Linked DNA regions of Callithrix jacchus. The protein of the gene in region 2 binds, or shares a complex with, the protein of the main gene of each other region. Links are inferred from orthologs where the notes say so. Each region holds a gene or a part of one and is shown on either strand. Other genes may lie near its edges.

The links.
Region 1: the proteins of SYMPK (region 2) and SSU72 are in contact, whole or in part, in a crystal structure (PDB 4H3K), measured with the Homo sapiens proteins. The link is inferred for Callithrix jacchus from reciprocal best matches to the Homo sapiens genes SYMPK and SSU72. Residues at the interface, in NP_004810.2 of Homo sapiens: Val123, Lys127, Leu131, Gln135, Asp175, Asn176, Asp177, Gly178, Thr181, His182, Lys185, Glu188, Pro204, Arg205, Arg206, Gln207, Ser250, Ile251, Thr254, Thr255, Asn262, Ala290, Ser292, Gln293, Ser295, Ser296, Lys299, Asn300, Leu303, His304; in NP_054907.1 of Homo sapiens: Glu113, Tyr116, Asp117, Val120, Asn124, Glu127, Gln128, Glu129, Thr130, Cys131, Gln132, Pro133, His135, Asp167, Glu169, Asn170, Asp173, Gln177, Glu180, Thr186, Phe187, Leu188, His189, Thr190, Val191, Phe193.

Annotation. Positions count from the first base shown.
Region 1 is NC_133508.1:39,659,825-39,662,997, forward strand, and holds the end of SSU72 (RNA polymerase II subunit A C-terminal domain phosphatase SSU72), read right to left. Parts: intron 2,578-3,173; coding exon 2,459-2,577; intron 1,083-2,458; coding exon 981-1,082; 3' UTR 649-980; downstream 1-648. UniProt on the Homo sapiens protein: Protein phosphatase that catalyzes the dephosphorylation of the C-terminal domain of RNA polymerase II. Plays a role in RNA processing and termination. Plays a role in pre-mRNA polyadenylation via its interaction with SYMPK.
Region 2 is NC_133523.1:40,002,880-40,006,530, forward strand, and holds part of SYMPK (symplekin), read right to left. Parts: intron 2,318-3,651; coding exon 2,191-2,317; intron 1,475-2,190; coding exon 1,225-1,474; intron 1-1,224. UniProt on the Homo sapiens protein: Scaffold protein that functions as a component of a multimolecular complex involved in histone mRNA 3'-end processing. Specific component of the tight junction (TJ) plaque, but might not be an exclusively junctional component. May have a house-keeping rule.

The DNA.
Region 1 (3,173 bases), on a different chromosome or scaffold from region 2:
TCCCAGGACGCCAGTCCCAACCCGATCTGGCCCAGAGGGGCGCCAAGGCTCTTTCCGCACCACTGCTCCACCCTCCGTCCTCGTCTCCCCGGGTAGCCAGGTGCGGGGCTGCACATGTCTCCAGGGTGCATGGAACCATGGGGGGGGGCTCAGAGGGAAGGGACGGGGTGACCCCTGGAATCCTCAAGGGAGTCACCTGCCACTCAGAGGCCCAAGTGGTCACCACACTGCTATGGGACCAAACTCAACCAAAATCAGTGACCACGTCTCAGATACAGGAGCCCCCGCCACCTTGCAGCAGGAAGTTAGCTGGAAGCAGTGCCTGGGCCCAGCCTGGGGGCTGCAGTGCCATCCAGGCTCACTGCAGCTGACTCCGGGGCTCAAGTGATCCTCCTGGCTCAGCCTCCCTCGAAGGTGGCCTAGGGGACAGCCGACCAAGGTGGGGGGTCAGGGGAGGGGAGAGTTTCCATGCCGAGCTGGGACGTGGCTCCCCCACAGGTAGCAGTGCTGGTGGGAGCAGCTGGCTTCTACTTCAGGCAGCACAGGGCGGGGTCGGCCCAGGCTCCAGCCACCCCAGGTCTGAGCTACACCTCCCCAGCAGTGGTCGGAGGGCCAGGGTTGGGCCAGGAATTCACGACCAAGCACAGGTGACAGCAGCATCTATTTATTGGACAATTCCAGGTCATTGAACATCTCGTGGGTGGGAAGGGGGGAGGGAGCGGGTGCACGGGGACACGGGGACAGCAGGGAAGTTAACACAAACTGCTGTCTTTCCTCTTCGGTTAAAGAAAAAAACTATAATCAATATCCCACTAAAAAATGGGAAGGAAAAGACTTGATTGCTTTAATGTGGCATTTGGACCTCTCCTCCCGTGTCACATGCTACCGTTACCAGCAGAACACCTGTAAGTAAAAACAAACGTCAGGAAGGAAAAAGTATGAATAGAAGGAAGCTGGAGAGGGCAGCCGGGGCGCCCGGCTCAGTAGAAGCAGACAGTGTGCAGGAAGGTGCGCCCGCTCTTCTCCTCAAACTCCTGAAGTAGCTCGTCAATCTCGTTCTCCATGTCCTCCGTGTGCTGGATCTGCAAGGACAGGACCACCGTGAGGGCCTCGCCGGCCCTCCCGTCTGCTCCCAGGCAGCACCTGGATGACCAGGGAAACCCCCTCCTGGGCCAGGAAGCTGGGTGACAGACAGGTCCCCACCTGCACCGCTGCTGCTGCCTCACAAGGATGGCTGGAGGCTGCAAGGGCAGAGGTTCCTAGGAAGCCTCAGGCCTCACCTCCCCACTGGCCCCCACCGAGCCTGAAGCTGGGAGCAGGGAGCTGGATTCAGAGAGCAGACTGGGAAGCCGGGACCCAGGCCCAGGTCCACTCATGCACAGCACAGCCAGACAGCCTCACCGCAGCACTTCCCAAATGCCAGCAAGGACCCAGACCCGTGCCCTGTGGCAGGGGCAGCCCGGTCACTGGAGCATCCTGATCTCCACCTACCAGAGCCCCTGGCGGAGGCCTGCTGCCTGGAGTAAGCACCTTGGGCTCCTGAGCACACAGGCCTTGACCCTGGCTGCTTGTCATTTGCCATTGCCAGTGTCCCCTGGTCCCCAACCTTGGGCAGCACACAGTGCCTTTAAGTGAGGAGTGGCCTGCCTGTGACTCAGCTCTGGCCAACGTGACCGAGCAGAAATCGAGCAGCCACTTCTGGGATGAGACTTTTCCAGTGGCCTTCCCTCCTACCAGGCGGTCACCAGCACCATCCTTGGCACTCCAGCCATACTGGGCCGTGAGGCATGTGAGGACCAGAAACCATGCAGCACAGGCAGGCAGGAGCCCACGCCCTTGCGGCAGCCTCTCCCAGCGCAGGCAGCCTGGCTCGGGGCCTCCACACCGCACCATCTCCTCTCTCGTTCACAGATCCCAGAGGCAGAGGCGGGTCGGTGTGTGGGGCTCTCCCCAGCAGGCCCTCCCCTCACACCCCAGCACCTCAGCAAGGCAGCAGCGCAGCTGCAGAAGCCCTTGGGGTGCCCCCTGGCCCCTCAGGGTGTCTTGGGGAAGACAGGCATGCAAAAGGCTGAGTCCAGGGGCAGACTGTGGACATACAGCCCTTGGCAGCAGACGCCCTGGGAGCCTCCAGGCTCACGTGGGGCATACCTGCGACCGCACAGCATCCAGGAGCACCACTTGCCTGCTGGCTGAGGCGCGATGAGTCCACCCCAGGGAGGAGGCAGTGCCAGGCCCTAAGCTTGTGTTGGGCAGGTCACTGCGCTGCGTCTGTCAGCTGAGCAGAGGGCAAAGGGGGTCTCCTACTCCAAAGCTGGGGGACAGCTCTCTCTGAGCCGCCAGCAGGTACCCCAACACAGGTCAGCTGAGCAGGAGACCCCGCCCCAACAGCAGGGCCAGCCTCAGGCCTCACTGCCCCAGCAGAGCCTCTGCCCGGCACGGTGCCAGGCCCGGTACTCACACACTGGCAGAGCTCACAGATGAGAAATGCCCCCAGGGTGGCCTCCTCATGGTTGTCCTGGATGTCCACGTTGACCACGTGCACGGGCTGGCAGGTCTCCTGTTCTCTGGAATTCAGATCTGATTGGGACAAGGTGACACAGAGGTCAGAGGCTCCAGAACCAGGGAACAGGCAGTCAATGTGTCCCAGTCCCTAGCTCTGCCGGCCCCTGGCCCAGCCCTGGCGGTTTCTGGACTCTGGTTTGGGAGCTGAGTAAGGACTGAGCGTCAAACCTTGGTACGTCCCCAGCTCAGCACAAGGCGGCCTGTGCTTCCCCGCCCTCCCTGACCACAGGCCCGGCTCCACACAGGGTCCACTCGTGAAATATGGACCAGTGGCTCATGCCCATGATCCCAGCACTTTGGGAGGCCAAGGTGGGTGGATCACCTGAGGTCAGGACTTCAAGACCAGCCTGGCCAATATGGTGAAACCCCATCTCTACCAAAACTACAATAAATTAGCAAAGTGTGGTGGCAAGTGTCTGTAATCTCAGCTACTCAGGAGGCTGAGGCAGGAGAATCGCTTGAACCCCTCAGGTAGAGGTTGCAGTGAGCCGAGATTGCACCACTGAACTCCAGCCTGGGCGACAGAGATACACTCTGTCTCAAAAAAAACAAAAACAAACAAGAACCAGACCCCTGGAGCCCATGAGAGGCTGCAGCCAGCACAATGGTTC
Region 2 (3,651 bases):
TGTGAATGCCGCATTATTTGAAATAGTGCTTAAAAACCTAAATGGCCATCAACAGAGCATTATTACTTAATAGAATGTAATGTAACTATACTATGGAATATTGTGTAGCAACTGAACATGACTCTCACAGGGAAAGACGTCACTGATACTATTAAGTCATAAAGGTTGTCAAATAATACATTAAGAATAGCTAATATTTGTGGAATGTTTACTATTCCAGCCATATTAATTCACCAAATGCTCATACTTACATCCTAAATTAGATGCCATAGTAACGATCCCCAATCTACCGATGAGGACTCAGGCTCAGAGACAATAGGCTACATCCAATGGTGGAGCTGAGATTCAGACACAAGCCACCATACTCTAATGTCTCCCAGATGAAAACACAAACATGGCCTTGTTTTTGCAAACAGAAAAGCAAACAGATGCAGACACTATGCATATACACATACAAATATCTACATTTGCACGGGAAAGATCTGGAAGGAAATATATTCTTAACAGTGTTTATCTCTGGGAAGCAGGACTGAGGGAGAGGGTATTATTCCTCTATACTAACCCATATTGCTTGACACTGAGTGTATATATACTACCACTATTATTATTTTTTGAGATAGAGGCTTATTCTGTCACCCAGGCTGGAGTACACTGGCACAATCTTGGCTCACTGCAACCTGGTTCAAGCGATTCCCGTGCCTCAGCCTCCCAAGTAGCTGGAATTACAGGTGGCTGCCACCAGGCCTGGCTAATTTTTGTCTATTTAGTAGAGAAGGCGTTTCACGATGTTGGCCATGCTGGTCTCGAACTCCTGACCACAAATGATCGGCCTGCCTCAGCCTCTCAAAACGCTAGGACTACGTGCATGAGCCACCACACCTGGCCTATGTACTACTTTTATAATTTACTGTTAAGAAAATCGTAAAACTGGCTAGCATTGATTAGCTCACACTCATAAAACTTCACTACAAACCTGTGAAAGTAGTACTATGTTATTGTCTCCAGTTTCCAAAAAAGAAAATGAAGTACAGAGACAGGTAACTTGCCCAAGTTCATGATGAGCAATCAGGGCAGTTCTGATCTGAACACAGCATCAGGGCTCTTTACTTCTGCACACAGTTTCAGAAATGTAAAACCAAGAAAGATAAGGGGGAGCGGGAAAGGAGTGAAGGAGAGGAAGCTGGTGCAGGGCTATCAAGGGCACCAGCTGAAGGCAGCACTCACTGTACTGGATGTAGGGGTGGTCCCGAGGGATGCGGTCCAGGCTGATATCATGCTCCTGGCGTCGGGGTATCTCCGAGTCAGCCATTCGGGGTGACAGGGTGACAATGAGGCCCTCCACAAACTTGATGGCGTGGGTGCGGATGCCATCATTGTCAGAGTCCAACAGTAGGATGATGTCCCCTGCCATGGCAGATACCATGTCCCAGCAGGCCTCCTGCAGCTCGCTAATGACCCGTGACTTCACCATCCACTGCCAACAGACCCGGAAGGAAGAGAAGAGACAAAGAGGTGAAGACAATGCATCAATCACCACCACCCTCTACCAATACCCAGAGAACCATGGAGAACAGTTCCTGAGTTCCAGCTCTGCCCTAGCCCAGTGCTGAGTGATGCTGGAGACGGGACACAGTAGTGGCCAGGCCTTGCCCTGCCCACATGGGGATGCAGACAGCAACCACTCAGGGTGATGAAGGCTCAAGTCTTAACGTAAAGGAGTGACGATGCTGAGTTTACAAGATGGTGGTGATAAAACGGATTCACTCATTTTATTAATGCTAATGTACACCACAGCACAGTGTTTGCTTCCGCTCACAGTCCATAATCAACATTTATGTGATTCATTAATTAAGGTCTGCCTCCCTCCTTGGGTTACAAGCACTGTGAAGGTCCTAAGCTGTCTTTGTCACCGCTATGTCTCCAGCATCACCTAGCCCAGGGCTGAGCACAGAGAACATGCTCAGGGAACGTTTGTTGAGTGAATAAATGGCTGGATCAATGGAAGGAATGATATTTAAGTGCAAATTCCTGACCCAAGTGACATTAGAGCTCCATGTTGTCTGTTCCCACAGATCAACAGCACATCTTGCTCACAGAATCTGATTGGATGCTGGTTTTGAACCCCAACATATCCGTTTGTCAATGAGACCTATCAGGCAGGATGGCCCTGGGTGGGGAGGGGGCTCTCACCTGCAGGGCCACCTTGTAGAGCTGGGTCATGGTAAGGATGGCCTTCTTCACCACATTCACATTCTCGTCCCTCAAGAGCATGTTGAGGTTTGCAATGAGTTTCAGCAGTAACTCAATGTCTCGCTTACTGAGGGATGAAGAAAAAAAGGGGCAGGTGAGAGGAGCCTGAGGTTCAGGAGGAAAGGCAAATCAGGGGCCTGTTTCAGAGGACTGGAACGACACATCTAGAAGCTGGGAACGGTGTTTGGTGCCTCCAGAATGAGCCGCCCCTGAATCTAGAGTGGTCCTGCAACCCCAACTCCTTTGCTCTCTCAGGGGCCCGCTGTTCACATAAGGGACAGTAGGGCCAGACAACTGTGTGAACTTGGGCAATCGACTTCACCTCATTTACAAGAAGAATATCTATCTCAATTGTTTATGAAATTTTTTTTGGGAAAATTGCAACAATACATATAAAGTGCTCAGAAGAGTGCCTGACTGACATACAGAAATCACTCAGCAAATACCAGCCATCAGTACCTGAAAGCACTTTGTTTTATGTAATTACTAGTTTTGCTTGCCTCAGTCTGAGGGCTCAAAAAGTGGAGACCCTTTCCTAGCTTAGCAACAACCCCAGGAGGGTCACTTTCATTGAAAAAAATGAAGGGCCTCCAATAAATATCTGTTCAATGAATAAATAAGAGCTCAGCACGGAATTCAGAGCATACATTAAAATCCGAAAAATTAATTAAATCGGTCAAAAATATGAAACTTAGCTGTCAGCTACATGAAGGCAGGAATAACAGTGAGTTTTCCTCACTGCTGTACTACAGCCTAACATGAATGCCTGAAACAACAGCAGCCACGTGGCATATATTTGTTGAACAGACTTCTTACAAATTTAGAAAATTTACCACAAATTCTGCCAGTAAATGGGGAGACAGGATATTTGGGCTCTGGCATTCATTGCAGACATGAGTTAAAATTCCAGCCTTGGCCGGGTATGGTGGCTCATGTCTGTAATCTCAGCACTCTGGGAGCCCGAGCCAGGTGGATCACCTGAGGTCAGGAGTTTGAGACCAACCCGGCCAACATGGTGAAACACCCATCTCTACTAAAAATACAAAATTAGCAGGGCGTGATGGTGGGTGCCTGTAATCCCAGCTACTTGGGAGGCTGAGGCAGGAGAATTGCTTGAACCTGGGAAGGGGAGATGGCAGTGGGCAGCAATCGTGCCATTGCACCCCAACCTGGGCAACAAGAGTGAAACTCTATCTCAAAACAACAACAACAAACAAAAGAGCTGACTGTGGTGTCAGGTGCCCGTAATACCAGCTCCTCCAGGGGCTGAGGCACAAAAATCTCTTAGCCTGGAAGGCGGACGGTTGCAATGAGCCAAGATTGTGCCACCACACTCTGGGTGACAGGGTAAGACTCCACCCAAAAAAATAAAAAATAAGTAAAATCCCAGCTTTGCCACAT